Linked DNA regions of Sus scrofa. The protein of the gene in region 1 interacts with the protein of each later gene in a biochemical or structural test. Links are inferred from orthologs where the notes say so. Each region holds a gene or a part of one and is shown in the gene's direction. Other genes may lie near its edges. The genes, in order: ERBB3, NCK1, ITK, SHC1, HCK, BCAR3 and FER.

Region 1 (2,162 bases):
AACCCCCCAGGTACCTCCTCCCGGGAAGGCACCCTTTCTTCAGTCGGTCTCAGTTCTGTCCTGGGGACCGAGGAAGAAGAAGAAGATGAGGAGTATGAATACATGAACCGGAGGAGAAGGTGCAGTCCAGCTCGTCCCCCAAGGCCAAGTTCCCTCGAGGAGCTGGGTTATGAGTACATGGATGTGGGATCAGACCTCAGTGCTTCCCTGGGCAGCACACAGAGTTGCCCACTCAACCCTGTGCCCACCATGCCCAATGCCAGCACAACTCCAGATGAGGACTATGAATATATGAATCGGCGACGTGGTGGAGGGGGTCCTGGGGGGGATTATGCAGCCATGGAGGCCTGCCCAGCAGCTGAGCAAGGGTATGAAGAAATGAGAGCTTTCCAGGGGCCTGGACACCATGGCCCTCAGGTCCATTATGCCCGCCTCAAAACTCTACGTAGTTTAGAAGCCACTGACTCCGCCTTTGATAACCCGGATTACTGGCATAGCAGGCTTTTCCCCAAGGCTAATGCCCAGAGAACATAACCTCTGCTTCCTGAATACCTCAGGGAGCATTTGATGGCAGCTAGTGCCTCTAGAGGGTACCCCTCTTCTCTTTAGCCCCTCTCCCTCACAGGTCTCAGCGCCATTTCCCTAGTCCCAGACAATTCCATTCAAACTTTGGAGGCCTTAAACGTGTTGACACAACGTTCTTGTGGTATATAGCCAGCTGTGCACTTTCTTCTCTTTCCCAATCCCAGGAAAGGAGATAGTTTTCCTTATTTTGTGCTCTTTCCCAATCCTATTCCTCAACTTTCTCAGGGGAACTCCCTGGAGATATGAAGGATTCCTCCCCATATCCCTTTCTCTCAGACTCTGACTTGTTGAGACTAGGCTTTAAAGTGTGACTTTGTTTCCCAGCAGACTTTTAAGGAAGAGGAAAGGAGGGAAAATGGCAGGAGAAAGTGAGATTTTTGGCTTATGATTCTTAACCCCCTAGAAAGAATGAGATGCTTAAAAATCTTGTGAAGAAAGAGGTTGGGAGTATATAGTAATGATTACTGTTCATTGAACGTTGACTGTGTGCCAAGTATCATCTAAACTTACCCATCTCACTTAATCCTTGACACCAATTCTGTGAGCTAGGCATTATCCCATTTTACAAATAAGGAAACTGAGCCTTAAGGAGATTAAGTAAATCAAGTAGCAGGTCCAGGATTCAAAATTTTCCAATGCACCATGCTCTTAGTGTAAGGTGTCAAAGAAAACTGATGAAAGTCAGAGCACTAGTAAGAGGTATTGTCTTCTTGTGTTTGCACTGAATCAAGTCTAACCCCAATATCCACAGCCTCCTCCTACACCTGGACTGCTCATCTCAGCAAGTGGGAGTAAGGGGGTGGACAGAAGGAAAAATAACTGGACATCTCTGTGTAAACCGTAATCTTCGTGTGCTACATATGATATCTGCCTAAGGGACAGACTCAGACGGTCCCCAGAGCCATTTTTTAGGAGCAGTTCTCATTCAGTAGTGGGAAGCTTCCAGTGGAGATGAAAAAGAGGACCCGGCTTCAGACCTCAGTTCCTTTGAATGGGAAACTGGGAGTATCTGTTTTTATCCCTCAAGTTTTTGTTTTGTTTTTATACATGTCTGAATAAAGATGCCAAGGTTTTGCAGCTTCTTGTCTAACGACAAACTTTAGTGAGTGGACAGATCAGCCCTTTTCTCCGTTCCACAGCAGAGAATGGCTACCATGGCATGCTTCCTTCTCTGTCTCCCCACAGTCCTACTTGGCCCCCTGTAGCTTTCTCCAGCCCCACTTTCCTTATAGTCTCTTTAGACAAGCAAAGGGTACAGTCCTTTTCATTTAAGCGTTTTACTAGGAATCTGTATAGGGCAACCGACTAACTGGGAGTAACAAAACAACCAAACAAAACACGTTTGGGGCAGTTAGAAAAGGCCCCAAGAGGTAGAATACTGAAACTCTCAAACGTTTCACAACTTTAAAAAAAAGTGTCCGTCTTAGGTGCCATCAAAGCCTGTTGTTGGAACAATAGTGCCATCTTCAGAGGGAGCCGGCCTCTAGACTTGGAAGGCTGTACATGGATAATCCCACAGAAATCTGGTGCCCAGTTAGTCCCTGCTCCACGCACTCCGGGTCTCCTTCCACACTCGC
Region 2 (4,019 bases), on another chromosome or scaffold:
AATTTTGGTAGGGAACACAATTCAGTCCATGATAAAATATGCAAAGGTATTTAGACCCTTTGAATAATCCAAAATTCACTTACATTATTCACTTTAGATGCTAGTTATGGGATATAGATGTAGAGTTGTTGCTGCCTGGAGTTCAGTGTGGTCTACTTGCTCTAGCCAACTTGAGGCCAGGAAGGGCTGGACCATAGGTGTTTTGTGCTTGACCTTGTGATCCTATATATAGCAAGTGAACCACACACCTCTATCAGCACGCAAACAATTTTGAAGTTAAATATAGAAAAGCAGAAACTCTTGGAATTTAGGGCCAGGATTAAAAATGGGATTGGAAGATGTATTAATGCCTAAACAATATTTACTGACGATCTAGCATGTGCTTGGCACTGGGGAAAAACTGTATACTGACATGGCTCCTGATTTAACTGAATGTACAGTGTCGGTAGGGAGACGGACTGACTCTTTCAACAGCTTAGGTGGGGACAATATCTGTGCACCTTGGCAGTCTTCCCTAAGGGGGCAACACCTAAGCAGAGCTACAGAGATGGCAGGGAATGGAGGGTGGCTGCAGTGCTGGCGTCGCGGGAGAACCAACTTACTGATGGCCGGTGACTGGGGCTGGGCCGCTAAGAATGGGCAGACCTGGCACCAAAGATCACTGCTCTCCTCACAGCAAGGCTTCTGCAGCCAAGACGGGAAGCTACCCACGCACCAGGACCCTTCGAAGGCCTTCAGACTCAGCTTATTTCTGTTTGCTGCTCAATTTAAGCATATGTCTGACATTTTCCTCTCAGGTCCCCATTTCCAGGTCTTTATGTTTGTTTTGCTTTTTAAGTTCCCCGCCCTTAAAAACCTTTTGCTGGCAAGACCTTCTTCAGATGCGGAAACCAGGAGGAAGCGTCCAGAATAGCAAGGGCTGACCTCGGGAAGCCGTCATTTCTGTTGTGGGTTCTCTCCTGTGGCGCTGAGAAAGTCCAAAGTAATCAGCTAGAGAGACAAAAGCTACAAGAATCAGATGCAGGCCCGGCGTTCCTCGCCCGCTCGCTCAAAGCTGTCTGCGGAGCCTTCTCAGCTCACTCCACACCCAGCACAACGCTTGATTGACAGAGGGGCCCGCCCACTCGTGGCGCAGCGCAGATCGCTCTCGCGTCAGTGATAGGAGGGAACGGAGCGGCTGAGCCTATTAGATGGGGCAGGGAGGGGGTTTCCTGCCCGCGCGGATCCGCCCGCGGCCTCGCAGCCAGTCCGCACAGCAGCCCCGCCCACTCGCCGCGCGCCCCGCCCCTCTCCCCAGAGCTACGCGGCGGCAGAGCGGAGGCCTCGTGCCCTAACGGCCATCGCGGTGGCCGCGGTGGCATCCCGGTGCCCTCCTCAGGTGAGCTGGGGCCGCCTGGGCTCGGCAAGAGGGGAGGTGAGACGGTCCTGCCGGCAGGCAGACGCACGGACAGCTTTTCCTTGCTTCCAGAGTCTTCACAGCCTGTTACTTGCCGCGGCACTTCCTCTTCCCCGGCGAAGTTAGCCCCCGGGGGCGCCGTCTGCCGGCCCCGAGTTGAGCCGGAGGGGGCGGGGAGGCCGCTCGTCCCGGCCTAGGCATTTGCCTGGCTGCTGCGCGCGACCCTCTGGCCACTGCCCTGGGCGGCGCGGCCCCGCGGCCTCCCTCTCCATCCTTTGGGAGTCCGGTCGTGTTGAGCGCAGCGGCCTGCGGCCCCGTGAGGCTGGGAGGTCGAATGTGTGGCGCGTGTCCCCCACCCCGTTTCTTTTCCTAACCAAAAGTCGTGTTGGCTGTTGTGGCGCAGTCCGAGGCCGCGAAGGTAGGGACGTGGTAGACGAGGACAGGGGCGTGCACACCCCCAGCTTGAGAGTGGGGGTAAGGAGCGTTTCCCTGTGTTGGGGGTGGACATCCTGGTGATGCGCCATACGCCCCCTCCAGTCCCCCCCTCCTTTCCCTTCTACTGGAAAAATACGGGTTATTTTAATCTTGTGGATTTGCGGTAGATTAGTACGAGAGTTGATTGAACTATGAGCTTTTGACTATATTGTGTTCTAATATATCCAGTAAAAAGAATGTATCTCGATAGTTGGTTTTGTAACCTTTCTTATCTGTGTCCATAAAAGTTAAATTAGCCGTCAGAAACTCGGGAAGCTGGATTTTGTTCGGGTCTGAGAACCCTAACATTATGTGCGCTCAGTTAATGTCTAACTAAGGAATTAGTTACCTAAAAATAATTCTGGCCGTTGGATTTGGTAAGAAACCATGAGAGTTAGGAAAGAAGGTAAGGAGAAATTTCTAATCCTGTATTGGGTGGTGAGCAAATAAGCTGAATATCCGGACAAAACTGGTAAGTGTTGCAAGAGGTATTCACTTTTTAAAATCTTAACTTCGGCAGATTTATGAAAGACAATTTGTACAATTTATTAAGCACTTGGAAAGCACTGTACCCAAAGTCTCCATCTTCAGCTATGAGTGCATAGTAAATGGGGAAATAATCCAAGAAGAAGGTTTTATCTGTTTGATAATTGTCAATAATGTTTAGTTCTTAAATAGGCATCCCATTCACAGTTTGATAGAAACTCGAGAAATATGCAGTGGTTGATTAATAGTTTTATTTTATCTTGATCACAAACGTGGGGACTTTCTTTTTTGGAAATTATGATTTGTAAGCATTCTATGCAGAATGGTCAAGATTTCTTAGCTGTGCTTGTTCATGTATTAAATTTTAAGTTGTTTGCTTTCTTTTTCTAAGCATTATATTTAGTCCAGATTTAGAGGTCTTTGTAAATAAAACTTGAAGCATACATCAAACATTTTTTATCATGCCATTGGATTTTTCTTTTCTTTTTAAATTTTTATTTATTTATTTTTTTGTCTTTTTAGGGCGGAACCCGTGGTATTTGGAGGTTCCCAGGCTAGGGGTCGAGTGGGAGCTACACCCGCCGGCCTACACCACAGCCATAGCAATGCCAGATCTGAGAGGCGTCTGTGACCTACACAACAGCTCATGGCAACACCAGATCCTTAACCCACTGCTCGAGGCTAGGGATGGAACCTGCATGTTCATGGATGCTAGTCAGATTGATTTCCACTGAGCCCCGAGAGGAACTCCATTTTTTCTTTTTTTAATTCAGTGAATTTTAGTACATATTTATAGTTGTACGACCATCATCACAACCTAATTTTACTCTTTTTTTTTTTTTTTTTTTCTTTTTCCAGGGCCACACCTGCAGTATATGGAGGTTCCCAGGCTAGGGGTCGAATCGGAGTTGTAGCTGGCGGCCTGTGCCACAGCCACAGCAACACTAGATCCGAGCCGAGCCGTGTCTGCAACCTACACCACAGCTCACAGCAACTCCGGATCCTTAACCCACTGAGCGAGGCCAGGGATCGAACCCGAAACCTCATGGTTCCTAGTCGGATTCGTTAACCACTGAGCCACAACAGAACACCACAATCTCAATTTTAGAACATTTCCTCCCCAAACCCTCAGTTCATTCCTCTATTTTATTTTAATTTCTTAACCTTTGAGAGCTTTCTTGCCAAAGCTCAAGGTAGATGTGATTATTGTTGTAAATCACTTGTCAGGAAGACTTAATAGATACAAATGCAGTCCATTTTTTTCCCTTATAGTTTAATAATTTTCACAATTTGCTCTCCTTTATAGAAAAATACCAAATGCTCTCTACTTATACCAGAAGACTAAATGATTTTTTAGTTATTTAGTTAATAACTAGGATTGGAGGAAACTCTTGAAATCACTAAGCACTTAAGTTCTCCATAAATACTTTGCTGTGCTGTTTTAGGAAGACTACTGACAGGGCCAAAAATGACACTTAAGGGTTATTTAATAAGGCAACAATTCTATCTGGATATTTCTCACTTTATTTGAAAGATAGAATTTATAGCTTTCCCATGAAAACTGATTCCATATGCTGACTTTGTCTTTAGTGATATTATTCTGCCTTAAATTAGCCAGACATAAAAATTGGTTTTATCTTTGACTTGTGTCCACATAACATTG
Region 3 (4,065 bases), on another chromosome or scaffold:
AACACATTTTTCTAAACATCCTTTTTATAGGCCAGGCACCATAATGATGTCTGAGTTTATAATGGTGAACAAAACCATACATAGTCCTTACCATTAGGGAGCTTCTGGACTAATGGGGGAGACAAACATTAACCTCAACAATCACCCTCTAAAAAGTGTAACTATCATAAGGGGTGTGGTATAAGGTGCCATTTGCATATAATTGGCGGGTTTGACTTGGTAAAACTAGGAAGGAGACTAGCAGTATAATTTAGAGTTAAAGCAGGCAAAGCACAGCAGTAAAGATGTTTTCAGGTAAAGTGAGCAGATGTTCAAAGTAGCATGTGAGCACACCTGAGAGCCCATGAGTGAGCTATGAGATGAGACTGGCAAGCAAGTTGGAAGGCAGCCCTACAGTGCTGCAGGTAGGGGCTGTTATTCCCCTTTGTAGGCAAAAAAAGCTGAGGCTTTCTGTTCTTGAGAAATTGGCTGCAGTCTCACAGCTAGTTAGCTGGTGGAAGCCAAGGTGTGGGAGGTAAGGATGTCCTTGTCCTAATCCTTACCTACCATTAGTTTACATGATAAACATACATTCGTTTACATGATAAAGGGGAATTGAGGTAGAATATGGAATTATGGTTGCTAATAAACAGATCTTGATATAGGAAGATTATTTTAGATTATCCAGGCAAACCCAAAGCCATCGTAAGGATCCTTAAATTTGAAGAGGAAGGCAGAAATGGTCAGAGTTGTATGAGTTGAGAGGACTTGACCTCCTAATGGTGGCTTCAAATGTAGACAAAGAGGGCCTCCAGTCAAGGTGCACAGGTAGTCCTAGAAGCTGGAAGGGGCAAGGAAACAGAGTCTACCCTAGAGATCCTCTAGAAAGGATGTCACAATCCTGCTGATATCTCGATTTTAGCCCAATGAGACCCATTTTACATTTCTGAACTACAGAACTGAAAGATAATGAAATTTGTGAGGCAGTAAACTTAAGGATAAGTTGTTACAGCAGCCAATGGAAAACTAATACACAAACTACACAACCTATGTGCATCATCTCCAGAGCCCATGTTCCTACCTCAACGGTTGAACAGGCTAACCCAGTAACTATAAAGATTAAACTCAAGGCCATCAGGTCATTTTGAGTCTAAAGTTCTTTAAAAATAATTTCTAAACCATGCAGCAAAGGGTATATATAATTTTTACATATGTCTCATAGTTTTATGAACTTCGAAAGGATGTGGTTATGGGCTTTGACATCAGAGAAGCTTTGCGATGTTGACTGACTGTTGATAGAGCGATAACATTGGAGGCACGTTGCCTTTGAACAAAGCTCTCTGAAGATCAACTGCCTCCCCGTCACAGTCCTTTCCCTGAAGCTGTTTGCTCTGGTTGTGCTGAGGGGTGATGCCCGAGGTGCATCACTTTTCAAGAACTGGATCATGAACAACTTTATCCTCCTGGAAGAGCAGCTCATCAAGAAATCCCAACAAAAGAGAAGAACTTCTCCTTCGAACTTTAAAGTCCGGTTCTTTGTTTTAACCAAAACCAGCCTGGCATATTTTGAGGACCGCCATGGGGTATGTGAGCACTTTCTTGTTCGTCTTTTTCTTAAACAGTACTTTAGAGTTTGGGCTGAATCATGAAGATATGCATAGAATAAAATACGAACACAGGGAACACGGATGTGCTTCTTAACCACCTAAAACGTACAGTAAGGGTAATTGGAAGAGAACATGGAGAAAAGTCAAGATACAGGATAATTGTATTAGGTGATTTTAGTTCTAAAAACTATAAAAGAACGTTTATTATCGTTAGCTTTGTCTTTTCCCTGCATGTTAAGTTTAACTTTTAAACTACATTTTTTTTATGGCAAATCAATGGCTAAGTGAAGGGTCCAATGTTAGCATTTTTATGGACTCAGTTTTATTTGTCTCAATCTCATTACTCACCTGACATTTGGAATAAGAGTCCCTGAGCATTTAACCGTCGAAAATTTGCAAGGCCTAGTGGTAAACCTCTTTATCCCTGGAGAACCTCCCAGGAGACTAGGAATCATGCATGAAGGGTTGTGCAGTACCAGGCAGAGGTTCTTATCCAGATTGCAGCTACTTACCTGTCAGTCTTTATATATCTAATGATATTCTTATGTTGTATAACATCAGTAATAGTAAAAGAGACAATGAATAATCCTAACAACATAGTTTGGTACAAAAAGCCCTGGAAGAGGGGTCAGGAGACCAAAGCCTACTTCTCTCTAGGTGAGTTAGCCTGGGCCAGTGTCTCTGCTTTACTCGTTAGGTTTTTTCTTTATGAAATGAAAGGACTGGAAATACTACCTACAACATTCCTTTCTTCTTCCTTTTTTTTTTCTATGAAGTAGCATTTGTATAGCTTTTGTTCGCATTTTTTCAAAGTGAGTTTGACTTCTTACTATGTCATTGTATTATTTTTCCATCACCAGGGAGGTGGGGAAAATGTTAGGTGCTTGATGGTCACTTAGAAACAAAGGTTATTTTCTTTCTTGGCTAGGATCTGACTAAGTAGGTGTAGGCACAAGTTTGGGGTCTCCTAAGAGCCAGGGTTTGTAGTGTTCAGTGAAATGGAGTCCTGAAGGGGACCAGACTGGGTATGGAGGCTATGGATGACTGGGCTTCTAAGACGCAGAAGAAATAATATTGCCTCTTCCTCAGAGGTGAAGAATCAACTTAGGCAGATTCTTACTGGTAATAATCCACCAACCAGTCAGGACGAATGTGGAATTACTTATGTGTAAGGCCCCTTTGGTAGGTATTCAATAAGTGTTGGTTGACAAAATTAATGGAGGGCCAAGAGCCAAGTTTTCATCTTGGAGAATTCATCATTTAGAGCTGATTAATCACACAGCATCAGTCAGCTTTTTCCTATTGTGAATAGGACATTAGAAACTCTTGTTTCATAGCCAAAGAGCAGTTGTTTACCTGTAAGTATTTCTTTCAAACGCAATTTTACAGTTTTCACCAATTTTTTTTTTCTGATTCAACACTCAACATAGCATCACCTCATGTAGTTAGTACCAATCATTTTTTGAGCATAATTGTGAACTGTTTGGTTGTGAATGCTGTACCATAGTATTTGCAAAGAGTAAATGGTCTTTTTTCAAAATTTTGTTTGTTGTCATTGGTATGCAGACAATGTTGTAGAATAATTCAGCTTCTTCATTCGAACACTATGAAAATTCTAAGACAATGAATTCATTCTGGGGAGCCCTGAGCTATAGTTTCTAATATTTCCATGTGGGAAATAGCAGATATATAATATACAAACCTCACATTCTTATTTTCTAATGTGTATGTTCTATATGCATAAATAATATTTTCAAAGTATTTCTTTAAATATTATAGAAATTTATGATTAGAAATTTTTCTAGGGTCACTGAGAAAAGTAAGATAAGTGGTTATTTTTTATTCTTCATGCCCTATGGATATTCCATTGCTTAAGACCATCAGTTTGCACACAAGAGTACATTGCGCATTGCCCATAAATAACAATAGCATTATACTGTGGGAAGAAAGTTTTAATTTTTTTTTTTTTTTTGTCTTTTTGCCATTTCTTGAGCCGCTCTTGCGGCATATGAAGGCTAGGGGTTGAATAGGAGCTGTAGACACTGGCCTACACCACAGTCACAGCATGGTAGGATCCAAGCCACGTCTGCGACCTATACCACAGCTCACGGCAACGCCGGATCTTTAACCCACTGAGCAAGGCCAGGGACCGAACCCGCAACCTCATGATTCCTAGTCGGATTCATTAACCACTGAGCCATGATGGGAACTCCCGAAGGTTTTAACTTTTAATTAAAGCCTCAATTTTGCCATCTGTAAAATGGGTGTGATGATAGTGTTCACTTCATGGGAAAAAATGGTAAAAATTAAGAGAGAATGTATTTAGACTAATCTATTTGAAATTACCACTTGGCAGATCAAAAAAAGATCAAATATTTGCAATTTCATATAGTTCAACTTAATATATAAAATACTTAGCCTAAGTTCTGTCACCTTGTGAAAATCTAGTAAAAAATAGGTATTATTTATATCATCATTT
Region 4 (4,269 bases), on another chromosome or scaffold:
CGATGCCCACACCTGTTGGTCATCCACGACCTCTGGATCCTGCAGGCAGCCACCAAATGCCTGCCTCTGAAGATGAGCACATCCTGGTGTGTGTTTGTGTGTGTGGAAGGTGTGAGGCTCCGGCAGCATACTTTCTTCATTCTCTCTAGGCCTGGGAGCTGAGGCCTTAGGAAAGAGAGCCATAGAGTTTCTTCCCAGGAGTGGCAAATGGAGTGGCAAAGCTCTCCTCCGTTGTGGACCAAGAGGAGGTGATAAGCACAGTGTCTGACACGTTCGAAGTGCTGGTGCTGTTGATCACTATAATCCTATGATTATTTGCTGTCTTTTTATCCTGGGAGATAAATTTAAGGATAGATATTCCGAGGCCAGCCTGGGGGGCTATATATATCTTTCACTCTTTATTTCTTGGTCACTTTCCAGCTGCCTCCATGGCCCCCTCGAGCAGAGCTGGCGTGAAGCTGTGGGTGGAAGGAATGGGTTTGAGACTGTTTCCTGTGTCCAGCCTCAGTCCTCCTTTTCCTGGCACTCCTTTCCCCTTGGCACAGATTGGTCTTCTGCCTACCCTATCCCTTCGTGGCCTGTAGCCCCCGTCCCCCTCCTCTTGGAGAACTGTTTCACTCTCCCCTCCCCAGCCAGACGCTGCCCCTGGCGGGGTGGGGCCTCGGGCTCTGTGGTGGATACCTGTACTCTCTAGGGTCCCTACGGCCAGAGGAGGGGTAGGAGCTTACCTGCAGGTCCAGGGCACTGACGTTAGTGTCAGTGCCCTGGCAGCCCCCACCCCTCCTACCCTTGATAACTTGCTTGGCTGCGGAAAGTGGTGGGGGGCTGCAGAAGGGTGCCTGGCATGAGTTGCTGCTCCTTGGCATGGTAGACGCCATGCAGAGAACAAGCCTCCACCAGCCTGTCGTCTGCTCCGGCTCCTGCCTGGTGGCTCCCTGATGCAACACCCATCATGATGATGAAGTAAGGGACTTCATTCCCTTACTTCACCAGCTCTGCCCTTCCCCTTGGCCCCTCTCTGCATCCACCGGGACCATGTCCTTCCTTTTCCCATTTCTGTAGCTCCCTCCCCGGCTGTTGCAGCGGAGGATGCTAATGACCGAGACTAGGGGGTGCTGGGGGATGAGGGAATCTGAGTGTTCGACCAGGACAGGAAGGGAAATGCTGAGCTCAGGGATCCCCTCCCTTTCCCACCCCCAGCTGCCTCTGTTTCCTCCCTCATTCCCCACTCCCCCCACCAGCTTCCTGCTCCCTTTGACCTGCCCATGTCCGGTTTGGATTGATCCAGACCTCCTCTTATCGCCCTCCTTTCCTTCTCACCCCTCCATCCTTCCCTTCCAATCCCACTCTACTCCTCCCTAGATTACATGTTGTTTGTACGGGGTGGGCCGGGGTGGGGGCGGGGGGGGGGACGGGGGTGGGGCGGGCGGTGGGGGCACGGTGCACTCTGCCCCGAAAGAGTTCTAGGTTGGGGCGGTGTTGGGGGCTCAGCCCCTCAGAGCCTGTGAGTCAGCACTGTCCACGGGATTGGTCTCTCCCCTTTGCTCCCCGCCCCTGGGGAGGAGCCAGGCAGCTCTAGGTCCAGCCTGTTCTCCTCTCAGCCAGAGAAGAGGCTCCACGCTGGGCAGAGATGGGGCCTGGAACTGTCTGGGTCTGAGCCGCGGGAGCCAGAGCCACTTGTCCCTCTCCCTCCCCAGGACCCTTGAGACCCCTGGGCCACAGAGGTCCGATCAGGCTAAGGGCCTGGGGATGCCCCCTGCCTGGCCCCCTTGCCCTGACTGGCAGGGGGGCCAGGCTGGGCAGCAGCCTCCCTCTCACTCCAGCCATGGATCTCCTGCCCCCCAAGCCCAAGTACAACCCACTTCGGAATGAGTCTCTGTCATCGCTGGAGGAGGGGGCTTCAGGGTCCACTCCACCAGAGGAGCTGCCTTCCCCGTCAGCCTCGTCCCTGGGGCCCATGCTGCCACCTCTGCCAGGGGACGACAGCCCCACCACCCTGTGCTCCTTCTTCCCCCGGATGAGCAACCTGAAGCTGGCCAACCCAGCTGGGGGGCGCCCAGGGCCGAAGGGGGAGCCAGGAAGGGCAGCCGAGGATGGGGAGGGGACCGTCGGGGCAGCTGTACCCGACTCGGGCCCCCTACCCTTCCTCCAGGACATGAACAAGCTGAGTGGAGGCGGCGGGCGCAGGACTCGGGTGGAAGGGGGCCAGCTGGGGGGCGAGGAGTGGACCCGCCACGGGAGCTTCGTCAATAAGCCCACGCGGGGCTGGCTGCATCCCAACGACAAAGTCATGGGACCCGGGGTTTCCTACTTGGTTCGGGTGAGTGAGCGTCCTCCCTCCCTGACCCCTTCAGTTCCTCTGCTCATGAGTCTCTCTTTTTCGCCCCTTCTTTTCCCCAGCAACTCCCTTGGTTTCCGTGTCCTGTTTCTTAAGCCTTTTGTGCGCCTTCTCTGATTCTGTAGCCCCTTCTCTTCCAGCTCTGTCTGGGTCCCCTTGGGTCCTGCGACTCCCCCACCCCTACCCCCAGCCTGCCATGCTCAGCACAAAGCCCAGGACAGGCCCTTAGTAAGTGTTGGAATGAGTGGCTCTTGAGTGACTCCCCTCCAGTCTGCTCCCCCTTTCTGGAGTTGTCACTCCATCCCAGCCAGGGCCTGTCGCTCCCCTCCAAATTCCCTCCCCCCACCCCCCACTGTGCAGGAGGTCCTCCTAGCTCGCCCTTCTCTCCTCACCCCCTATTGTCCTGCACTCTGTGGGATGGAGCCACGGGCAGCGGGGCAGAACTTCATCTCTTCTTCCCTGAGGGACCACGTAGGGCAGAGTCCTACGGCCCTTTGTGAAGAGGCTGGAGGGGGGCGGCTGACTCTCCTCCTCGCATCCCTCCCCTCAGTACATGGGCTGTGTGGAGGTCCTGCAGTCGATGCGCGCCCTGGACTTCAACACCCGGACTCAGGTCACCAGGTTCGTGGGGAGGCGGGGCCGAGAGCGCAGGGCTCCTGGCATTCAGGCCGGGAGGGGGTCGCTTGGTGGTGGTGGCTAGTGCTGGCTTGTCTTTGGGTGGGGAAGGCGATTTAGAGACAGGTAGGAGAGTCAGTCTAAGTCTCAATGAAAAGAGACAACTCTGACCCGGCTCCTTCTACGTATCCAGCCTGGGGAGTTGTGGGGGAGGTGGCAGAGGCAGCTGGCAGCTGGAGCTTGAGTGGAAAATGGGGGTAGATGGAAGGTTGCTGCCCGCCGCTGCCGCCGCCACCACCGCCGCCACCACCACTGCCGCCACCACCACCACCACCACCACCACCGCCTTTGGGAAGGGGCTGGGACATTTGGTAGCTGGAAGGGGGTGGGGCCAGACCCACTGAGGCCCTAACCCAATCAGCCAGGAAGCGGCCTCTCAGTGTCATCAAATATTAAAGGCCCTTAATTCAATCCACCACGACAAAGAGCCTGGAGTGCCCCTGGAGTCTGGCCTGGCCTTCCCCTCCCCCAGCCCTGTGGCAGCCCCAGCCGAGTGGGAGGCAGGCTCTGGGTCTGAGTACCCCTCTTTCCCCAGGGAGGCCATCAGTCTGGTGTGTGAGGCTGTGCCGGGTGCGAAGGGGGCGACAAGGAGGAGAAAGGTACCTGGGGTCCACGGCACGGGGGATGCTGCCGGGAGATGCGGAGGAGCAGGGGCAAGGCTAGTGTGGCGCGTGTGGGGAGAAGGGCAGGAGTGCGGGCGGTTTCCTGGTGTGGGATCTCCCAGCTTCTGAGACCTGGGGCCCTTCCCCAGCCCTGTGGCCGCCCACTCAGCTCCATCCTGGGGAGGAGTAACCTGAAATTTGCTGGAATGCCAATCACTCTCACCGTCTCCACCAGCAGCCTCAACCTCATGGCCGCAGACTGCAAACAGGTTGGTGGGGTGGAGTCAGGGTCAGGGCGGGGGGTGAGGGCGTGCAGAAACACCGATGGGAAGGCTCAGTGGGAACCTGGCCACGAGGGCAAGAACTTAGCAGAGAAGCCTTGGGCGCAGCAGAGCTGTAGGGAAGGTGTAGATTAGGAGGACATGGGTTGAGAAGCCAAAGGGACGCTGGGGTCCCGGGCCAGTGGTGGGGGGTGCCCAGTGGACCCTCAGGCTGCCTGACACCCGTCCTTCCCTTCCTTCTCCATCCTCTGCCCTAACCCTCAGATCATCGCCAACCACCATATGCAATCCATCTCGTTTGCGTCCGGCGGGGACCCGGTGAGTCGGGGAGTGCACCAAGGTGGTGGGAGAGGAGAGAGGGGCTTGGGATGGG
Region 5 (4,184 bases), on another chromosome or scaffold:
TGGGAATTCAAATTAAGACCAGTAGATGGTGTCAAGGGTCAATCAAGATATGGGGAAGTGACCACTGTGGCTCAGTGGAAACAATCTGACTAGTATCCATGAGGACGCAGGTTCCATCCCTGGCCTTGCTCAGTGGGATAAAGATCCGGCGTTGCCATAAACTGTGGTGTAGATCCCAGACAGCGACTCAGATTCTGAGTTGCTGTGGCTGTGGCGTAGGCTGGCAGCTGCAGCTCTGATTGGACACCTAGCCTGGGAACCACCATATGTGGTGGGTGCAGCCCTAAAAAGCAGGGGAAAAAAAAAAAAAGATATGGGGAAGTGGTGGGAGAGGAATCCAGGCAGCAGCCATTACGTAAGCATTCTTGGTCAAGCAATTCTTTATGAAATTCTCACATGGGTTCATAAGGAGACACGTATGAGGCGGTCCATTGCAGCTGTGTTTATGGTACTGTGAAGTAGTGTGCCGTCTGGGCATCCATGACTAGGGGAATGGATACATAGACTATGGAGGATGTAGACAACTACCTTTGGCAGCATAGCTAGATAGTAACAGTATCGAGTGATAGAGTGGGGAAAAAAGGCAAAACTGAATACCTACCACCCAAGTAAATCAAGCACACAATCAAAACATTATCTGCTTTTTAAAAGTGCAGGCATGTATTTAGGTACACACACCAAACACATAAGAACAGGGTTATTATCTTTCTCATTCAAGTTTCTGTTCTCCCTTCCCACCCCTCCTCAGATATTTGGTTATGTCTGGATACATTTTTAGCTGTCACGAATGGGGAAGAGGGTTTGCTACTAACATCTAGTGGATGAAATTCAGGAATTCTTTTCAATATCCTACTATGCACAGGACAGCCCCCAAGACAAAGAATTTCAGGACCTAAAGGTCACCAGTGCCATGGTTGAGAAGCCCTGTGTAGCCCAGAGCCCAGCACAGTATTGCTGAATGAATGAATGAGAGATGAAGGTGGCCTGAACTGGCTAGGAGCAGTGGGACTACAGAGACGCAGTAGGATTCTGGAGGTGTGTTCAGCAGAATTTTGGGTGAGAATCCTTCTCTTTCCAGGTGGAGATATGCTGTGCCCTTGCCTGGCGCTGGGCACATCTCTTTCATGTGCGGCCTCCACTTGCCGTCACTCAGTTTTGGAACTCCTCTGAGCTACCCGGAAACCGACAAGGAGTGAGCTAGGCTGGTTCCTGCGGGCAGGGCACTTTGCATGGATTTGAATAGCGAGGGGCCTGCAGAGCGGAAACCGCAGACCACAGAAGGGATGGGAAGGCTTAGGACCCGGCCTGGGGGAGGGGCCTGGGCTAGAAGGAGGGGTTTGGAATGGTGGGGAAACAGGTCGAAATGCTTGGAGGAGGGGGAGTGGATTTAGAATCCTGTACGAATGACGACAGTGGGGTGAAGATCCTCCGGAATCGGTTTAGAATCCTTTAATAGGTGGGATCAGAAATCCTGGAGGTCAGGAATGGAATCTTTGAATGGGTCGATGAGAATCTGGAAGGGGGGGGTCGGGCGTTTAAAGGGTATTAAAATCCTGTGAGGGAGTTCCTGATGTAGCCCAGCGGGTTAAGAACCGATTAGTATCATGACGATAGGGGTTCGATCTCTGGCCTCGCTCTGTGGATTAAGGATCCAGCATTACGGTCAGCTGTGGTATAGGTCGCAGACGAGGCTCGGATCCCGAGTTGCTTTGGCTGTGGCGTAGGTCGACAGCTGTAGCTCCGATTTGACCCCTAGCCTGGGAACTTCCATGTGCCGCGGGGTGCGGCCCTAAAAAGAAAAAAAAAAAAAAAAAATCCTGTGGGAACAGGTTAGGATCACCTAAGAGAGAGATTAGAATCTTTAGGATTAGGGTCATAAATCTTGAGGCCTGGGTTAGAATCTTTTTTAGAAGCCTTTGGTTGGCCGGGATTAAAATCCTGGGGGCAGAACTAGAAACCTCCCGTAGGCGAGGTTAAAATTCCTTCCGCTGTGAGAATCAAAATCCTTCAGGGCAGAATTAAGACCTTGGGAGGAGATGGGGTGTTGGGGTTCTGGGGAGGGCGGGGTTTAGAATCCTTTGGGACGGGGTTAGGGCTTTGGGAGATGGAATTCGAATACATTAGAGAAGGCATTAGGTTATCTGGGGGTTATGACCTTTGAGAGACCGGTTAAAATTCTTGGAGGCGGGGTTATCCTTCTGGAAGGAGGTTAGGATTCTTGGGGACAGGGTTAGAAGTTTTGGATGGGCGGGGTTTAAAAATAATTTCCTACTTGGTGGGATTAGGATTTTGGGGAGGTGGGGACGGAGATTAGAATAACCCGGGTCGGGTTAGAATCTTCGGGGGCGGGTTTAGGATACTCGGGGGCGGGGTTAGCACCACTCCGGGCGCGGCTAAAGCGCCCAGATGGTCTGTGGGCGCCAAGGCGTCCCAGGTCCTAGCCCGGGCGCAACTCTGGGCGATTGGGAGGGACGCAGACAGCTCAGCCAAGAGGGGCCCCCAAAAAACAACGCACCGAAACACCTCGGAGCGCAGCCCCAGCCTCTTCTCCAAAGTCACTCTCTCTTCCCTGCGGCACCGGCGCCCGGGCACCCCGGGATCTGCCGAGCTGGGGGGTCGCTCCAGTTGCGAGGACCCGGGCTGCCCACCGGAGGAGGAACGGGCGCCCAGGTGAGTTTCTCGGACCCAGGATCGGGCGACATCAGCTCGTCACCTTGGCCTGACGGTCTTCGGGCTGCGGAGGGAGCCCAGGGTGGAGAGCGGGGAAGGTTGGGCTGCAGCTGGAAGGGACCGTCGGGGAAGCGGATGACAGGTGGCCGGATGGGGGGACCGAACCCTCCGGGAGGATGCCCAGATAAATAGCAGAACTGCCTGGCTGAGAACCTGGGAAGGCTCGAGAGTGACTTTAAGCCTGAGCCGCCACTTCTCTGGGCGGTCCAGCTTCCCTTTCTGCAAAAGGAAAAAAAAAAAAAAAAAAAAAAAAAAGTCTTCACAGAGCCCGGGGAGGGGAAGACCCTTACGATTCCTGGTTGGGGTGGATGATGGTCACAGTCACGGCGGGTTGGCAGCCATAGTGGGGAAGGGGACAGCTGGCCGTAGGCGTGACGTGTGAGCCACACCCAGGCAAGGCTGCAGCTGGGTCTGCTCGCTGAGCTTGCTCCTCCTCCCACGCTGGGCCCTGATCCCCAGCAGTCTAGGTTAAACCCCAAAATCCCCTGGACAGACCACAGGATGCCTGGCCCCTCCCTTTCCTCCTTGTGAGACCTTGGACAAGTCACCCTCCCTTTCTAAATTCCCTTTCCTCATCTGTCAAGGAGCACTATCAATTCTTCCTTCCAAGGCTGCAGTAAGCTAGAGTGTGTTAGAGATCACTATTGTGGCAGTTTAGTGTAATAGTTAAGGAAGAGGTTTCTGGGAGCAATCTGCCTGTTGAACCTTGGGCAGGGGATCTGGTCTTTCTGTGCCTCCGTTTCCACAACTGTAAGATGGGGATAATTAAAATAATGGTTGTGTCATAGGGTTGTTTTGAAGGTTAGACTGAGTTATTGAAGGAAAGCTCTTAAAGCACTGCCTGACAGGTCGACGGCTTAATTGGTATTCACTACTATCACAGCTTTTAAGGATTAACCAAGTGGTTCTCGAACTTTATCTGTGCATCAGTAGCACCTGGAAGGCTTCTTACAACCCAGGTTTCTGGGCCTTGACCCCAGAGTTTGTGATGGAGTAGGTCTGGCACTGGAGCCCAAGAATTTGCATTCCCAGGTGATACTGATGCTGCTGGTCCAGGAACCACACTTTGAGAACCACTTTGGACGGCACAGACAAGGGCCTCAATAGATAGCAGTTCTCAAGAGTTCCCTGGTGAGTCAGTGGGTTGAGGATCTGGTGTTGTCACTGCTGTGGCTCAGGTTTGATCCCTGGCCTGGGAACTTCCACATGCTGAGGGCAAGGTCAAAAAAAAAAAAAAAAAAAAAAAAAGTCATTTAACATACAGCCCTCTGTCTCAAAAAACTATAACTGTGCCTTGACTGCTGACTGGGTCCCAGAGTTTTCTGAGATGCTCTTCCTGGGTTTAAATCCTCAAATTTGGCTCAAATAAAATTTTCCATTAGGAGTTCTCGTCGTGGTGCAGTGGTTAACGAATCCGACTAGGAACCATGAGGTTGCGGGTTCCATCCCTGCCC
Region 6 (3,500 bases), on another chromosome or scaffold:
TGCCCTCCAAGCTCATCTATTTCCCTGTTCTGACGGTACGAACCTTCTGAGACCATAAAGTGACATTGCAGCCCAGCTGTCAGTCGTCACTGGGGCTGAGATCTCCCCCAGAGGTCGGGCGGGGCCCCGAGCCTTTGACCTGCTCCAGACCGGCCTGCAGCCGTCCTGCTCACTTCTCTCTTGAGGGTGGACGTTGAAACCCCAGGGCCCAAATTGAGGACCAGCAGCCGCCACCCTGGCTTTGTCCTTTTCGCGTTCTCCACGCAGCTGAGCCTTTTCTGAGCCTCTCTTTCCCTCTGCAGGCGGGAAGCTGCCCCCCCAGTCCCCAGGCGTGGGCACAAGCCCCAGCCCCGGCTCACCTGTTTTCAGGACCGGCAGCGAGCCCACCCTGAGCCCGGCGGTGGTTCGGAGGGTCTCCTCGGACACCCGGGCAGGGGAGGCGCTGAGGGGCTCGGACAGCCAGCTGTGCCCCAAGCCGCCCCCCAAGCCCTGCAAGGCACCCAGCCTCAAGGCGCCCCCATCTCCAGCCGTCTGGCCCCCCTCGGAGGCCAACTACTGCGAACTGAACCTGGCCTTGGCCGCGGGCTGCGACGGGGCCGCCCGGCCGCCCCTGTGTGCCCAGGACAGCTACGTGGAGCTGCTGACGGCCAAGCAGAATGGGGCGCCGGGACCCCGGACCTCCGACACCAGCTACCTGATCCTCGATGACGACGACGGGGCACGGCCGTGGGGGCCGCCGCCGGCCCGCAGGGACCAGGGGCGGGAGGACGAGGGCGCGTTTGTGCGGCCCCTGCTGGAGACGGCCTCCTCCTTCAAGCCCAACGACTTTGAGTCGCAGCTCCTTCCTCCCGAGAACAAGCCCCTGGAAACGGCCCTGCTGAAGCGGGCCAAGGAGCTGTTCGCCAGCCACGACCCCAGGGTCATCGCCCAGCACATGCTGAGCGTGGACTGCAAGGTAGGTGCGCGCGGCGGCTGTGGTCGGATTTGCAAACATTTGGAAAGAGCCTCTGCCTGGGCCTCGGTCCGCCTTAGCTTGGACATGCTTTTTGCTCACCGGAAAGCTCAGGTGATAACCCGGGCGTGGGGTTTATTTAAGGGGTGGGAACTGCAGGCCGGACAACCCTTGTCCAGGCGGGACGCTGGTGAAGTTCACGTGGGACAGAGGGTGGCGGCCCAGGTCGTGCCTCTTCTCCGTCCCCACCCCTGCTGTGTCCTTCTCTCTGCTGCCGTTCAGGTCTCTCCGCGCCTCAACTCCATCAGAACAGGTAAAATCGAGTCCAAAGGAGACAAAAGTGTAGTTTCTGGAGTGACAGAGCCTTGGTTGCCGTTCTTTCCCGATGCGCGATCCATGTATCAGTTCTATTCATGCATGTGTCGTCGTTATGAAAATAGTCTTTAGGATAAACTTTTTTTTGTTTTATTTTTGGCCACCCCATGGCACATGGCACTCCTGGGCCAGGGATCGAAATCTGAGTGGCCATCATGACCTAAGCTGCAGGTGCGGCAAGGCTGGATCCTTAAACCACTGTGCCAGGCTGGGGATCAAACCCTCGCCACAGTGCTCCCAGGACGCCACTGATCCCATTACGCCACAGCAGGAGCTCCCAGGATGAACTTTTTTTTTTTTTGCCTTTTCTAGGGCTGCACCTTTGGCATATGGAGGTTCCCAGGTTAGGGGTCTAATTGGAGCTGTAGTCACTGGTCTACACCACAGCCACAGCAACGTGGGCTCCGAGCCACGTCTGCAACCTACACCACAGCTCACGGCAACGCCGGATCCTTCACCCACTGAGCAAGGCCAGGGATTGAACCTGCAACCTCATGGTTCCTAGTCGGATTCGTTAACCACTGAGCCATGACAGGAACTCCTAGGATGATCATTTTTAAACTTGCTTGCTCAATTTAGAAAAATAATAAAATACAATTGTAAGATACAATTTTAGAAAACATATACAGTGCAGATTAAAAAAGAGAAAAAAATCACACTCAATCCAGGTTCCTGGTGATCCTCCTGGTTAACAGATGACATGGAAATGATTGCATGCGTATGTAAGTGTTTACCACAGAGCTGGCACAGGCCATACCTGCCATTCCAAACCCTTGTTGTCTTTGATTGAAGAGCATTTCATGATTATCTGTCCAGGGACCACATAAAGCCATGCTTACATCATCACTTTGGAGAGGAAGCGTTTCTTTTAGCCATGGTGGCTTTTGCTGCTTTTTTTTGAGAGAGCGATTTCTAGAGAGCAGGTGTTTAAGGCTACAGCGTGCTCGGTATCAAGAGGCGGATCCCTACATTTGAGCAACAGATAAGGCCTTAGTGCCATGGCTTGTAGTTCAGTAAAGAAAATTAGCTTCAAAGGTCAGGGCTTGTTGAGGAACTGGGTTTTCCTAACTCAATTTCCTGGGTCATGAATCATGGCAGGAAATGCGGAGTCAGAGCACTTTCCACCCCCACACCCTAGAGTCCCTCAGTTGGCGAGGCTCACAGCAGCACAGGGGGCCTCCCCAAACCCCTCCGGGGAATGTTAAGCAGGTACTGGCTGCTCTGGGGTGAACAAACCCCTTCCTTGAAACAGGACCGAGGCTGGGTCGTGGTCCGTGTGAGTGTAGAGGGGCTGCCAGGACCAGGGCTGTCCCGCGTGTTTGGCTGGGTATCCTTGGGCACTGCCCACGCGGTCAGATCATTTGCCTTGTCAAGACCTTACCGCATTGTAAAGCAAGCTCAACCTGTTTGGGCAGGAAGAGGATTTAGGTCCTGTTGTAGGAAGTTCATGATGGGCCCTGGATCTGAGAGCAGAACCACACTCACCGGCCAGGAACCCGTCTGGTTCTCCAGGGAGGAAGCTCCTTGTGGGAGCGGAGTCTGCGTTCACAGAACATCCCAATTCTCAGCAGAGGGTGACTCCCTCTCCCCTGGGGCCTCAGGTGGGCTTGGTGGGAGTCTCGGAGGACGCAAGACGCCTGACCACTCTTTGCAGGACAGTCTAGAATCTTCCCACTGGCAGCCGTGAAGCTAGAGCCAAGTCTGTTCTCAAATGAAGGACTGGGCAGCCTGCCCACCTCCTCGTTCTGCTTCTCTGTTTGCATTTTGTCCTCCTGGTGGGGGATCACTCCCCCGCCTGCCTGCAGGCCCCCATGAGAAGAGCAGGGGGTGGCTGGAATGGCTCATCATGGGGCACCGCTGTCACTGCCCAGCTCAGAGTCAATGCTCTAGAGGTGTTGTCCCGCCTCTGCACCTGTGAGCTGCGTGGCCCTGGGCTTTTCCAGGAGACCTAATCCAGGCTCTGCACTGAGCTCAGGAGCCCTTTGCCCCAGAGCTGAGCCTAAGGACAGGCAGGTGTCGGCATTTCCTGGTCACACCCCCGGAAAGTGACTGGACTGCATGTTTACACAAAGGAGAGCAGACTGGAGGTTTCTCTGGTGGAGAAGGGAACACTCTGGATACTTGTGCTTCCAGAATAAAATGTGTCAGCGACAGGCCTTGGACTCTCATTACG
Region 7 (3,972 bases), on another chromosome or scaffold:
AATCTCAACTGCAGAATAATATAAGAATACAACGTCTTTTAGGCTTAAAAAATACAAATAAACAATTAAAACTTCTATAATACAATGAAAAAAAATTTTCTTTACAGCATGTTTTAGTTTCTTTAGAGTAAACAAAAGTCCTATTTAAAATTTGTTTTTCTAAATGTAGGGCTGTTACCTAGAGTAAAATAAATAACTCTGTTTAGAAAAAATATTCACTTTTCTTTGGCCCCCACTGAATACCCGTTTTGGAAAAGGAGGGTGGAGACAGGATTGACCTTAGAATTTGCTCCAGAGAAAGAATGTGCACCGTACAACACAATGCCTTTAAGAATGGACTACAGAAACACACCCTGGAATAGTGACTAATAACACCTATCACACTGTTACCAATCTCCTAGTTATCTTCGTTTAGTTCGAATTTCTCATTTTCCACTAAATTCTTTTGGTCAAGGACGCTTCAGGAACAACCCTCACTGGAGGAGCAAACCAACTTCGGTTCTTCACACACTCTAGACTCTGGAAGAGTTAGGGACCTACTGCAGGGGTCTACTCACAAGACCTGCCGTAAAGTTTTTAACCGCCTCCATCACAACTGCAACACTGAGTGTCTAACTTTTTTTAAAAAGAGGGTCTCAGGCAATGGGAATTATAGGAACGAGAAAGACAGTTCTCGCCTTTAAGGCACTCCGAGTCCATTGGGGAAGGTGAAAACTAGTTCAAGGGAATCAACGTTACAATAGCTGCAAGTAAGATATACAGAAAGAGCCACAGATTCTGAGGGTGAAAACTGCGTATTTTGGGTATTTTGGGCTGTAGGGTCCGCGCCCATTCCTGGAAATTTCAGCACCCGGGATCGCCAAGCAACCCCCCGGGCACACTTAACATTTTAATCACGCCTCCACCCCCACCCTCCGAATTCCTTTCCGGTTGCCGACCCGCCGGGTAGTCCCTTCCAGGCGGCCCCAGCTTATCACCCCCCGGCCCGGCCGGGAAGTGGCCGCGGCCAGGCGAGACTCCCAAAGTTTCCTGTGACGCTGCTGTCCGCCTTTGGCCGCATCCCGCCCTCACTCCCATCCTGGCAGCGTAGACACCAGCCAGAGAGGAGCGAGCTAAGGGACCAGAACAGCAGAGCCAACAGAAGCACCTCGGGACCCGGGCCGAAGCGGGGAGCGGGCTTAGACAGCAGCCGACGCAACTTCACGCCTCCCTTCGCCACGCCCGCAACCTCTACTCCGCGCGCGCCCACCGGGCTCGGAGCCCGAGTCCCACCCATCTCCGGCCGCGGCCAATCTGCCGCGCCCCGCCTCCTGGGAGGTGGTGGAAGAGGGGTTGGGGGTCGGGAGGCAGCGCCCGCCTTCTGCTGGTGCCCATTGGCTGAGACCTCGAGGGTGCCCAGAGACCGGAGTACAGCGGGATTGGCCGCGGAGGCTCGTGACAGCGGCGCCCATTGGCTCCGGCCGCCCCCGTGACGCGGGGTGGCGACTGGCTCCCGTGTCTGAGGGGCTCCTGCTTGTCAGGTTCTAGGTAGGTGAGTTTCGCGCCACCGGCGACAGGCGCTGTTGCCCGGGGCAACACCGGGGAAGGGGGGGAAGAGTAGGGAAGGCCAGCCGAGAACCGGGGCAATACTCCCTGCCCGCAGGGGGGCGCTTGGGGCTCAGCTCTGGTGCGGCGGCTGCGCCGAGGGCTCTTTCTCCGCCCTCAGCCACCCCCCTCCTGCCCCCGGCTTAGGGGTCTTGCCTCCGTCCTACGCCCGCGGCGGCGCATTCCAGTTTGGGGCTTGGGCCGGGCTGCCCACCCGGCTGGGCGAGGCCCGCTCCTCCCACCCACCCGGGACTAGACGCTGAGGGGGCTGGTGCCGGCGCGAGAGGGCAGAGCGGGCGCGATGGCTCCGCCCCGTCGCCGGGTCTGGGGGCTGCGGGGTTTGGGGCGTTGCAGGGAGGACTGTGGGCACCGCCCATCACGCCTGCACCCCTTTCTCTCGGCGCGCTCACTTCTCACTCGGCGGGCTCTCCGGCTGGGGCGGCCACCTACACCCCCTAGGTATTGCCCCACCCCTTCCTACCGCTGGGGCCCTGCGGTCTCCCTGGACCGGCGCAGTCCGCCCCCAGTTCTTCTCATGTCAGCTTCACCACCCCTTTTATCCTCCACCTTCCATCATATTTCAGTCCTGGCCAGGGGTAACCCTCGAGGGATAGATTAAGTCTGAAGCTAGCGCAACTGAGGCAATTTCTATTCCCTCTTTGCCATTTAGGGTTGAGGAGGTGTTTGGAGTCACCTTCGGGTCAGCTCTCTGCCTTAGTCTACTTTAGGATCAACTTTCTGAAACCCGCTAATTGGGTCGGTGTTGATAGGGTGGTACGTCATTGCACAAATTAACTGTGAAGTTGTTGCTTTTTACTTTTGGGCATTTGTGATTTTGATATATAGTACTGTGCAGTCCAGAGTTTAATAATTTATTAAGGCTGGTACTTTCATTTTCGTTTGCCTTATGGTTAAAAAATCTTAATCTTTTTAATTCATACGAAGCTGCGTGTATTCATAGTACTCATCAATTTGATATAACTTAAAGGTGTAGTGCCATTTTTTCTTTTTCTCAAGATAATTTAAAATGTTTTTAAAAATTCTCAAATGGAGTCACCGATATAAAAATGTAATAGAAAAATCAGTAAGAATAGACCAAAACTATTTTAGTAATTAAGACTAGAAAGTACTTTTCAACCTATGGAATGGGAACGGGAGTTTAAAAAATCTGTTGCAAAGTGTAATTATTTCACTGTGCAGTGTTGTAGTCCTGGTGTATGTAGCTACATGGGCTGTAGGAACACATATTTGTGAAGAGCCACACATTTGTCACTCAATACAAAGGAAGGCTCAGTGTATGTTTTGTGATTCGGGAAATCTTTTCTCTTAGTTCTCTCAAGAAAACTATGCTTTCAGAAGTATTGGAAATGTATTGAGAGTGTATAGGCATACTTGGCAACCCTTTCTCTAGTTTTTTTCATGAAAGACAGTTGGTGAAGATCTGTTTCTCTTACACACTGGTGGTTGGCAGCATTAAATACCTATTATGTAAAATTATATAGGGTCCAGTTAATGCAGCTTCTGCCGTATTTCAAAGGTTGATATCAGTAGTTGAAGAAATGATTCAGGCTTTTGATCGACACATTCTTTTCATCTTAAAGTGTTATGTATGTATAACTCTGGTCTGTGAATGTTTCTCATTTGCAGTTTTTTCCTCCAGTATTTTACTATGAAAAATTTCAAACAATGCAGGAAAGTTGGATTGTGTGCTGAGTACTCACCACTTACACAGCAGTAACATTTTCAAGACGGCTTTTATATGGTATATATATCCTCAGGAACAGAGGAACTGAAATTATCAAGTTTGAAAACCAGTATTATATAAATATATGTGTATCACACCAAAATGTTGTGGATTACTCATTTCTCTTTGTAGATGGAAATAGTGTTTATAAAGACTATACTGATTTAATTACATGAAACTATTATAAAGCAGTCCTGTGAGTAGAAAGTCATCATCTTTTTAAATCAAGGGCTAAATGAATTAATTGCATTTTGGCAATCAGAAAAAAACGAAATCTGATAACTCGTTATACAAATAAAAGTTTTGTCTTAAAATTGGACTTGTGTTAATAGATTATAGTTTTGTACTTGATTTTTTTTTTTTTTTTTTTTTTTGCTTTTTTAAGGCCTCACCCTCGGCATATGGAAATTCCCATGCTATGGGTTGAATTGGAGCTACAGCTGCCAGCCTATACCACAGCTACAGCAATGCCTGATCCATGCCTTATCTATGACTTACACTGCAACTTGCTGTGGAGCTGGATCCTTTACACGCTGAGAGAGGCCAGGGATCGAACCTGTGTTCTCATGGATACTAGTCAGCTTCATTACAGCTGAGACACAATGGGAACTCCTGTACTTGGTTTTTAAATGAGCATCTTTGGA

The links.
Region 2: the proteins of ERBB3 (region 1) and NCK1 form a complex in vitro, tested with the Homo sapiens proteins (2 studies listed by BioGRID and IntAct, with this or other methods). The link is inferred for Sus scrofa from reciprocal best matches to the Homo sapiens genes ERBB3 and NCK1.
Region 3: the proteins of ERBB3 (region 1) and ITK form a complex in vitro, tested with the Homo sapiens proteins (2 studies listed by BioGRID and IntAct, with this or other methods). The link is inferred for Sus scrofa from reciprocal best matches to the Homo sapiens genes ERBB3 and ITK.
Region 4: the proteins of ERBB3 (region 1) and SHC1 form a complex in vitro, tested with the Homo sapiens proteins (2 studies listed by BioGRID and IntAct, with this or other methods). The link is inferred for Sus scrofa from reciprocal best matches to the Homo sapiens genes ERBB3 and SHC1.
Region 5: the proteins of ERBB3 (region 1) and HCK form a complex in vitro, tested with the Homo sapiens proteins (2 studies listed by BioGRID and IntAct, with this or other methods). The link is inferred for Sus scrofa from reciprocal best matches to the Homo sapiens genes ERBB3 and HCK.
Region 6: the proteins of ERBB3 (region 1) and BCAR3 form a complex in vitro, tested with the Homo sapiens proteins (2 studies listed by BioGRID and IntAct, with this or other methods). The link is inferred for Sus scrofa from reciprocal best matches to the Homo sapiens genes ERBB3 and BCAR3.
Region 7: the proteins of ERBB3 (region 1) and FER form a complex in vitro, tested with the Homo sapiens proteins (2 studies listed by BioGRID and IntAct, with this or other methods). The link is inferred for Sus scrofa from reciprocal best matches to the Homo sapiens genes ERBB3 and FER.

The regions. Positions count from the first base shown.
Region 1 is NC_010447.5:21,493,379-21,495,540, forward strand, and holds the end of ERBB3 (receptor tyrosine-protein kinase erbB-3), read left to right. Parts: intron 1-10; coding exon 11-534; 3' UTR 535-1,662; downstream 1,663-2,162. UniProt on the Homo sapiens protein: Tyrosine-protein kinase that plays an essential role as cell surface receptor for neuregulins.
Region 2 is NC_010455.5:77,862,436-77,866,454, forward strand, and holds the start of NCK1 (cytoplasmic protein NCK1), read left to right. Parts: upstream 1-1,219; 5' UTR 1,220-1,378; exon of another isoform or gene 1,379-1,814; intron 1,815-4,019. UniProt on the Homo sapiens protein: Adapter protein which associates with tyrosine-phosphorylated growth factor receptors, such as KDR and PDGFRB, or their cellular substrates. Maintains low levels of EIF2S1 phosphorylation by promoting its dephosphorylation by PP1.
Region 3 is NC_010458.4:66,079,464-66,083,528, reverse strand, and holds the start of ITK (tyrosine-protein kinase ITK/TSK), read left to right. Parts: upstream 1-1,265; 5' UTR 1,266-1,424; coding exon 1,425-1,562; intron 1,563-4,065. UniProt on the Homo sapiens protein: Tyrosine kinase that plays an essential role in regulation of the adaptive immune response. Regulates the development, function and differentiation of conventional T-cells and nonconventional NKT-cells.
Region 4 is NC_010446.5:94,821,365-94,825,633, forward strand, and holds the start of SHC1 (SHC-transforming protein 1), read left to right. Parts: upstream 1-1,469; 5' UTR 1,470-1,825; coding exon 1,826-2,320; intron 2,321-2,888; coding exon 2,889-2,959; intron 2,960-3,548; coding exon 3,549-3,612; intron 3,613-3,764; coding exon 3,765-3,884; intron 3,885-4,160; coding exon 4,161-4,214; intron 4,215-4,269. UniProt on the Homo sapiens protein: Signaling adapter that couples activated growth factor receptors to signaling pathways. Participates in a signaling cascade initiated by activated KIT and KITLG/SCF.
Region 5 is NC_010459.5:35,707,189-35,711,372, forward strand, and holds the start of HCK (tyrosine-protein kinase HCK), read left to right. Parts: upstream 1-1,384; 5' UTR 1,385-1,456; intron 1,457-2,097; exon of another isoform or gene 2,098-2,670; intron 2,671-4,184. UniProt on the Homo sapiens protein: Non-receptor tyrosine-protein kinase found in hematopoietic cells that transmits signals from cell surface receptors and plays an important role in the regulation of innate immune responses, including neutrophil, monocyte, macrophage and mast cell functions, phagocytosis, cell survival and proliferation, cell adhesion and migration.
Region 6 is NC_010446.5:123,646,571-123,650,070, forward strand, and holds part of BCAR3 (breast cancer anti-estrogen resistance protein 3), read left to right. Parts: intron 1-302; coding exon 303-955; intron 956-3,500. UniProt on the Homo sapiens protein: Acts as an adapter protein downstream of several growth factor receptors to promote cell proliferation, migration, and redistribution of actin fibers.
Region 7 is NC_010444.4:113,772,948-113,776,919, forward strand, and holds the start of FER (tyrosine-protein kinase Fer), read left to right. Parts: upstream 1-1,172; 5' UTR 1,173-1,527; exon of another isoform or gene 1,528-1,531; intron 1,532-1,940; exon of another isoform or gene 1,941-2,043; intron 2,044-3,972. UniProt on the Homo sapiens protein: Tyrosine-protein kinase that acts downstream of cell surface receptors for growth factors and plays a role in the regulation of the actin cytoskeleton, microtubule assembly, lamellipodia formation, cell adhesion, cell migration and chemotaxis.